2 linked regions of the Coturnix japonica genome follow. The main gene of each other region encodes a partner of the protein of the gene in region 2 in a complex. Links are inferred from orthologs where the notes say so. Each region holds a gene or a part of one and is shown on either strand. Other genes may lie near its edges.

Region 1 (4,309 bases), on a different chromosome or scaffold from region 2:
AAGGCATTTGCCTGGTCGTTGATAACCCAAAAAAACCTGTAGTTCCAGCAGACTCCAGCTTTGGGATGGGGGAGGAAGACCCTCCCTCCCACGAGCTGCTGTTAAGTCCAGAGTAAATCAGGAGCCGCTCTGCCTTGCCCTCTGCAAGACACGGGTGAGCCCCTGCCCTCCTCCGCCAGCAAAATAACATGCTGGCTCCTTGAAGTACATGCTCCCTGCATATGAATGGAGGGGAAGGAGGAGGGGGCTGGAGCCTGGGGCCTCTGCCAGCTGCATTGTTCTATACAAGCTGTGGCTAATAAGGACCATTAGTGGTTCATTAATGGCACCAAACAGTGAGGGGGCATTTCAGGCAGGCCAGTGTCCCTCATTCCCTAACCTATGGCCTCTTTTCCCCCTCCTCACACTTGAGACAGAGGCATCTGCTTGGGGTAGGAGACAGAGCTGGCAGTGCCAGACCTCCACGTCAGGCCGGTGCTGACATCGCTGTACAAGGAGCCACCTCCACCAGCTCCAAGTCCTCCAGCAGCAGCGATGGCGGCCTGCCCACCCGCTCCTGCTCCCGCACCCCCGGCCACAGCGGCACCTTTGCTGGCCCAGCAGCAGCGGGTGCAGAGGGCCCTCCAGGACTCGAGAGTTTTGCCAGACCAGATCCAGAAGCCCGAGGTGATGCCCACCACGAGGCACATGAAGTACTTGAGCATGAAGACGGCGTAGTCAGGGCGGCGGGCCTGGTCGGGCTGTTGGTCGCGCAGACAGGGGCAGTTGTGCGTGGCCTCCCAGCGGGGCCGGTTGTGCTGCTCGTAAAAGAGACAGGCGACCACGCTGGCGGCCGGGACGGTGTAAAGCACGGTGAAGAGACCAAGGCGTATCATCAGCTTCTCCAGCTTGTGGGTCTTGGTGGGGCCGCCCTGCTGTTTGATCACACTGCGGATGCGGAACAGCGAGACGAAGCCAGCCAGCAGGAAGAGGGTGCCGATGAAGAGGTAGACGACCAGCGGCGCCAGCACGAAGCCCCGCAGATTCTCCAGGCTCTGGTTGCCCACGTAGCAAACCCCAGCCACTGGGTCCCCATCCACAGAGCTGAGCGCTAGCACGGTGATGGACTTGACGCTGGGGAGCAGCCAGGCAGCCAGGTGGAAGTACTGTGCGTAGCCTGCGATGGCCTCGTTGCCCCACTTCATGCCAGCGGCCAGGAACCAGGTGAGGGACAGGATGACCCACCAGATGGAGCTGGCCATGCCGAAGAAGTAGACGAGCAGGAAGACCACGGTGCACAGCGCCGGCCCCGTGCTCTCGTACCGCACGTGTTCGGCCACCGCCAGCTCGGGCTGCAGCTCGGCCGCGCCGCCCGCCGCCCCGCGTCCCCCCGCAGCCGCCCCCGCCGCCGCCGCTCCGCCGCCCGCCCCCGCCGCTCCGGGCCCCGCACCGCCCGCCCCCGCTCCGCCGCTGCAAGCCACCTTCTCGTGGCCGGCAACCAGCCGCACAATGTAGCCCACCGACACGAAGAGGTAGCAGCCCGACAGGAAGATGATGGGCCGCTCGGGGTAGCTGAAGCGCTCCATGTCGATGAGGAAGGTGGAAACGGTGGAGAAGGTGGAGAGGAAGCAGAGCACGGACCACAGGCCGATCCAGAAGGCGGTGAAGGCGCGCTCGTCGGGGCTGAAGTAGGGGTTGTGGCACGGCAGCGCGCAGTTGGCGATCTGCCCCGTCTTCACTCGGTTGTACAGCGGGTGCCTCTCGCTGGACACCGACACCATGGGCGCCCGGCACTGGCAGCCCGGCTCGCAGGGCGGCGGCGGCCGCGGAGCCTCGGCCGGGGGAGCGGCGGCGGCGGGAGGGGGCGCCCTGGCGGGGCCGCCGGGCCGGGAGCCGCGGAGGGGGGGCTTGGCGGGCGGCGGCGCTGCCGTGGTGAGGTCGGTGCGGTTGTAGTCCATGCACAGCGTGTCGGGGCTGCCCTGCTCCGGCAGCCGGTCGCAGCGCATCCTGTCGGGCCAGGCGAAGCCGTACTGGCGCATGAGCGGCGCGCAGCCCGCCTTGGCCCGCTCGCAGACGCTGCGGCAGGGAGGCAGCGGCTTCTTGTAGTCCTCCAGGCAGATGGGGGTGTACATGCTGCACAGGAAGAAGCGCAGGTCGCTGGAGCACTGGATCTCCACCAGAGGCCAGAACTGGTGCACCTCCAGCCCGGCCTCGTCCTGCGTGTCGTGGTTGAACTGGTTGGGCATGTAGGTGTGGTTGTAGCCGATGCCCTTGCAGAGCGGCACGGTGATCTCCTGGCACGACAGCTCTTTAGCCGACGACGAAGACGACGACGACGAGGCGGCGGCCGAGGCGGCGGCACAGCTGGCGCGTTGCAGCAGGGCCACGGCGGCGAGCAGCGGGGTGACGGCCAACAGGTAGCTCCACTCCATGCTGCGCTGCGGGCGGCGGCGGGCCCGGCCGCCTCCCCTCCTCCCGTCCCGCTCCGCTGCCCCGGCAGGTGAGGGGGCGGCCCCGCGGGCGCTGTGCCCGGCGGAAGGGGGAGGGGGGGGGAGGTGGGCTCCGCTCAGGGGAGGCCGCTCAGCCGGCCTCGCATGTCTCCGGACAGCACGAAGCTTCTCGCGGCCGCCAAGTTTCGCTCCCGGTCCCCGCCCGGCGCGGTCAATATGGCCGAGGCGGCCCCGGGACCAGGCGCTGAGTCCCGCGACGCCGCGCTCCCGGGCAGCGGTAGAGCCGGTGCAGCGACGGCCGGAGCGGCTCGTCCCGCCGGCCGCACTCACGCCGCGCTCCGCCGGCAGCCGGGCCGGGTCCCGGTTCGCTCCGCTCCGGTTCCAGCCGCGGACACACCGGCCGCGATCGCGCCACCTGAGCCGCGGGGTTGAGTGCGGCTGTGCCTCCGCGCAACTTCTCGTTCCTCGGCCCCGGCAGCGCCAGTCCGGCCGCCGCGCTCTCATGAATATTTATAGCGAGCGCCTCCGGGCCCCGCCCTCATCGCCCCGGCTGCCAATCGCTCCGGTCTGGGCGGTGAGAGCGGAGCCGACCCCGGCCCGCCTTAAGGTGGAGCGGCCGGTGGGTGCCGGTGCTGCGTGCCCTGCTCGGCCCTTGGGAAGGTTGTGCTTTTTGCGGGTGTTTGCTCCGAGTGGCAAAGCGCGGTTCTTGGCCGTGAGCTGCTTCTGCTGCGTGTGATCCCGGTGGAGCCGGGGATCGGCAGCTCGGGGCTGTGATGCGACGGCCGCTCTCAGCCCTCCTCGCCTTTGCACGTGCCTGAGGCCGGACTCAGCGCCCACGACTTCTCTGTGCGTGGCTTTGCTGGAGAGCAGCGTTGCTGCTGCGGGGGTGAGAGGGAGAAGTACACGGCAGTGACACGGGGGCGGCAGAAACGCGGAGTTTCAAACATAACCGCGTTGCCACCCTTTCCCTGCCACGCCACCGAGCCGCGTGCTCCGGATCCGTTCCCAAAGTAATAACACACGCGCTCACAGTGGCGTCCCACCAGGTGAGCGGCAGCGGGGTGTCCGCCCTCCGGATGCCGCAGCGCTCCCGCACGGTTCGGGCAGCCCCTCCCGGCCGCTGGAGCTCACACGGGTGAGCATCGCACGGGGCCAACAGCTGCTCCCCTCCCGCTGTGCCCGGGCTGAGAGCGGCCCCGAGGGACGTCTCCGTCTCCTTTCCCTTCTCCCCCCGCCACCTCCCCCTCCCCACTCCCTGCTCCGTCGCTTCGAGACACTCCGGACCACCTTAAGGGCCGGTGCGCGGCGGGGCCGTCCCGGGGGGTTGCCGTTCTTCCAGACCGGGGCGTTTGTTTGTTAATTGCGGCGCTGTTGCTCTTCGCGCTCGCATGGAGCTCCCGCTGCGGCCCTAATGAGTGCGAGAGCGGGAACGAGCCGCGCTGGGGCCGGAGGAGCCGGGAGGGAGGGAAGGAAATAAGGAAGGAAAGCGCTGCCTGAAGTTTGCTGCCCCTGCCGACAGGATCCTCCGCCGCCCCTTTCTCCTCCCCATGTAAATAGACGCGTAGATCTCCCAGCGAGGAGGAAATGGGCAATAACGAAGCGATAAACGCGTTCACTGTGTAATCATTGCGGTCATTTGCAGAACTGTTCTCTTCGCCCCCCCCCCCAGCCCACCTGAGGGGAGCGATCGCTCTCGGACGTGCCACGGAACTGCTGAGGACGTGGCAGCGCTGCTGTGTTGGGCAGTTCCAGGCTATGAAATTATAGTCAGAACTCCCCGAGCAGCGCACAGTTCTTTGAGCTCTCAGTTAGAACGGTCTGTAAGGTGCTGGGAGACAGAACAGCGCCCAGCGAATGGAAAACCCGTCCTCTAACTTGGG
Region 2 (4,415 bases):
CTGAAATACATTCACGCTCTTCTGAAGTATTGACCTTATGTGTCTGACTGATGCATTCATTATGTAAACATCTACCCTGAGAGTACATTTAAAGTGCTCAGACTTAGCAAATGAGTTCAGAGACCACACCTGAATGAGACTGAAAGCCTTCGTCTGGAGACAGAACAGCCAGCACTTGGAAAATATGAGCTTAAACTTCATGGTAAGCCTGAAGCTCCGGTGTTGTCTCTCTAGCCCAGAGGACCTGTGCCCATGACTCGTGCTGTGCTGGCAGTGGTTACCAGAAGAGCTCCCTGAGCCAATGAAGGACTGACTGAAGCGGCACTGAAGTCATAGGGACTCCCACACAGCACATTCCCTCGTCACCAAATTAAACACGTGTTCCATCTTGCTACATTCCACACTTAGGCACAGTGAGAAGTTTCATCAGTTTTAGATTATCTCAAGAAAAACAGTATGAATTAAAAGCCATTGTAAGGGCTGTGCTCAAGTGCATTTTTTATTTCACAGTGCATCCCAAGCTCCAAGCTTCTGTCATGATCCAGCACACTCCTCTGTTCAGATGTCTTTATTCTGCACGTCTTGGTATCGGACAAATCATCATCCCATTAAAGCAAATCACCATCTCCCAGTACAGCACACCACAGGCAGCAGCTAACCCAGCTCCGGTGAATTTAAGAGCAATTCTTGCTGAAGGTAACGTTTTAACGAGAGTTATTTCAAACGCTTCTACTTTTTAAGAGCCAGACATAAAACATCTGCTATACAGCATTAAGCACTTCAATATTTTCAGAGAAAAATACACCCTTGCCATAGTTCCTGAGTAACTCTCAGAGGCAGAGAGCCCTCCCTCCACAGAAGCAGCAAGTGCAGCAATTGCCCTGCCTCACCTCCAGGTCAGTGCAACACACATCTCACAGAGGTTTATCATTATTCCAAGCCACGTTAATAAAACCAACTCCTGCCACGACCACATACAGAGCAAGGACACTGCTCCACAGTGAAGTTATTTCATGGCCATAGCATTCCAAATCCACTCTACCAAGCTGAAGCTTCAACACCAGAGAAGTTCCAGCACATTCCCAATCCTGCTGATCTATTTACGTACTTGTGAGATAAGCACATCAAAATACTTCTGAGAGGTAAAAGCCCCTTAAAGTCAGGCGTCTGCTCACAGGGCCGGGGAGCTGGAAGCAGGTTCCTCCTCAGCACACACAGCTGCTCTGCCCCACGTGCACAGAGCACGCTCATCCCTGGGGCTCACAGCTTCATCAACAGGTCTGGAAGGCAGCAACTCAGTGCCACGATAACAAAAGCGCTGCCTCTACAATGAGATGAAACAAATTCATCCTCCAAGTTACAACTTAACATCACCGTGAACTGCATTATGCTTTTACCCTAAGACTATTAAAAGTTCTCTCCTTAATAAATAAGAACCAGAGAATTGCATGAGTTGGAAGGGACTCTCAAAGGCCAACTCTGTGGCAATGAGCAGGGACACCTACACTAGATCAGGTGCTCAGAGCCCGTCCTGCCCGACCTTGGGTGTCCCCAGGCATTGAGCATCCACCACCTCCCTGGGCAACCACCCTTATTGTAAAAACTTTCATCCTTGTACCCAGTCAAAGGCCACTAAATATTTCAAAGGCGTTTGTAAGACCAGCAAGTAAACGTGTAGCAGCCACGAGGAACACTATGAGCTCCTCATGCTCCATATAAAACAGCTGTGAGTTCACTTCTTGAAGCTGCATAGCTTAACTCACTCAAGTCCGAACATCTTCACACCGACACGAGTGCTCAGAATGGAACGAGTCTCACTTTGGCTTTTCTGAAACTATTTGGCAAGACGGAGGTCAGCGTTAGGAGAAGGGGCACTCCGAGATGCACACCTTCCTCACGGAAACAGGACAGAACGAGCAAAACTTCACACACACCTACACGAACTTCCAACTAAAAATAGAGAGCGGCGATGCCAGCAGCCAGCGCTCCCGTTCCCAATGACAGCGTTAATAACTGCAGCCGCTTCGTTAAGGTGGGTGGCCCAATAAAGGAGGCCCCGTGGTGCCCTCCTGCCCTACTCGGCCGCACCACCGACTTTTCGCAGCCGGCCGGGAAGCATCGCAGCGCAGCGCGGCACAGCGCGCAGCAGGAGCCCCGCACGTGCGGAGCCCAGCGCCCGCCCGCCGCCCACGGCCCTAAGACGGAGCCCGGCCGCGCAGGGGGGGCCGAGGGGGGGCCTCGTTCCCCCACCCCCCTCGGCAGCCCCGCCGAGCCTCGGATTCCGCCCGTGAGCGACACCCGACACCAGCTCCTCCAAACCCCGCACAAATCCGGGACCGCGGAAGCGCGGCGCGGGGGAGGGGGGGGTGGGAACGCGCACACGACTTTTGTCTCTCTTTCGCGACCGGACGCGGCCACCGAGAGTCCCCCCGTGCAGCCCGGTCCCCGCGAGGAGGGGACGGGGAGGCCTCTGCGTGCGGCGGAGCCCTCCGCGCCCCGGGCCGGGCAGTTGCGGGCACACACGCCGGCTCCCCGCCCTCCCGCAGCCGCTCCCGGGGAGCCCCGCTCCGCCCGTCCCGTCCCGTCCATGTGCGCGTCTCGCCCCGGCGGAGTTCAGGGGAAGTTTCTCCAAACTCCGCCAACAAAAGGGGCAGCAGCTCCCTCCGCCGTTCCCCCCCCTCCCCGCCCCCCCTTCCCGTTCCCGCAGCACTCACCCCCGGCCGAGCCCGGCTCGCAGCGCAGCACCGAAGCGGCCAGGAGCCGCAGCAGCAGCAGCAGCGGGAGCGGCGGCGCCGCCTCCATGTTGTGCCGCAGCAGCAGCTGCCGGAGCGGAGCCCGCCGAGCGTCTCAGGCAGGTTCCATGCTCGGGGCGCTGCGCTCGGCGGGGAGGGAGGCGGGAAGGGGGAGGCGCCGCTCCCGGCCCTCCTCCTCCTCCTCCTCCTCCTCCTCCGCCCGCTCCCCCCTCGCTCCTGCCTCCCCGAAGGGGGCTGGGATCCTCCCGCTCGCGAGGCGGCCCGGGGAGGAGCCGTGCGTCCGCACAGGCCCGCGCCGTGCACCTGGCGGGGAGCGGCGGATCGGGCTCGGGCCGGGGATCCTCGAGCTCCTGGTCTCTTGCCGAAGCGTTTGGGTTTGTTTTGCTTCTTTCCCGGCTCCCCCCAGAACGCGAGGGGCACGAGAAGGGGCGGACAAAAGTGCTCACTGTGTGTTTACAAAGAAACTACTTGTGCATCTGCGCTGAGTGTGCGCTTACCTGCTCCTTTACGCAGCTGTTTTGTTCCCAGGTGGGGGTTTTCCTTCACCTTCCTCTTCCCAGCAATACGAGCATCTCCTCACAGTGCTCTGTGTTCGCATCACGAACAAAGTCACTTTCCAGCAGCAGTTCAGTTGCTTTTCCCCCCATCAAACACGCAGCCTGTTGATACAAGTACATGAGCGGTGAGAAATGGGCAGAAGCTGCTCTGTGACACATGGCAGGGGCTGAGCTGTGCCACCTGCAACCCAGACATCCCACATCTCCCTCATTCCCAGCTACCACAAACACCTCAACAGCAGGGACGGAGTCAAGAATTTCCCTTGGAGTCTCCATTTTCCCTTGTGCCAACACCAAATTTACCATAGGAAATAGAAATACTACAGTCTATACACAGACAGCATCATCAAGGCATTCCCTCATAAATCACATGCTTAACCAATAGATATTTAAAAGTTGCTTTTCCTTTCAGACAATGGATGTGTCCTAATAGATCTGCCTTGCTGTAGGTTCTGCAGCCATGGTTCAGATTTCTTCTCAGTGCCCAATGGACCACTACCCATCTCCAACAGTGGGACTAAAAGCTCAGGAATTCTTTTGGGACCTGATGGTCACCAGGTGCAGGTTTCCCCCTTTCTTAAGAAGGGTTTAATGTTGGGATAGTGTTGAGGAGTTACAGAAGGTCTATAGCACTGACCTTCACACTAACCCACAAAGGAAAATAAAGCTTCCTGCTCTACCTTCCTGCTTGTTAAACACATAAAGAATGCTTACTTTAAAGATGTCCGATTCCAGGAGGCATTTTAAACCTCAGCGTTCTTTAAGATGGGAAAACCAGCAGCTGGTCTTCCTTGATAGAAGTTCCACAATAAACCAGAGCCCAGATCAGAGCCGCTGTGAAACACTAATGGCAAAACTTTGTACAAAGAGATAAAGATGGTTCTGACTGAGAGATTTCAACAGAGACCAGCATTTTTCAAAGGGAAGTACCTGCTGTAAGGAGAGTTACTGAGACTGAGAAGATCCACCAGTGACTGCTCAGAGCCCCACACCAACCTTTGCTGTGATGAAGGACTATTTGCAGGCACAGCCCACCGAGCTTCACACCATGTGGAAGTTCGTCCTTTGCAGTAGTGCAGAGCTGGAATGAAAATTTATTTCCAAA

The links.
Region 1: LRP5 (region 2) and FZD8 share a complex: the UniProt entries of both Homo sapiens proteins name them as parts of the wnt-signaling complex. The link is inferred for Coturnix japonica from reciprocal best matches to the Homo sapiens genes LRP5 and FZD8.

What each region holds. Positions count from the first base shown.
Region 1 is NC_029517.1:11,565,425-11,569,733, reverse strand, and holds the start of FZD8 (frizzled-8), read right to left. Parts: upstream 2,937-4,309; 5' UTR 2,934-2,936; coding exon 402-2,933; 3' UTR 1-401. UniProt on the Homo sapiens protein: Receptor for Wnt proteins. Component of the Wnt-Fzd-LRP5-LRP6 complex that triggers beta-catenin signaling through inducing aggregation of receptor-ligand complexes into ribosome-sized signalosomes.
Region 2 is NC_029520.1:8,359,195-8,363,609, forward strand, and holds the start of LRP5 (low-density lipoprotein receptor-related protein 5), read right to left. Parts: upstream 2,900-4,415; 5' UTR 2,803-2,899; coding exon 2,715-2,802; intron 1-2,714. UniProt on the Homo sapiens protein: Acts as a coreceptor with members of the frizzled family of seven-transmembrane spanning receptors to transduce signal by Wnt proteins.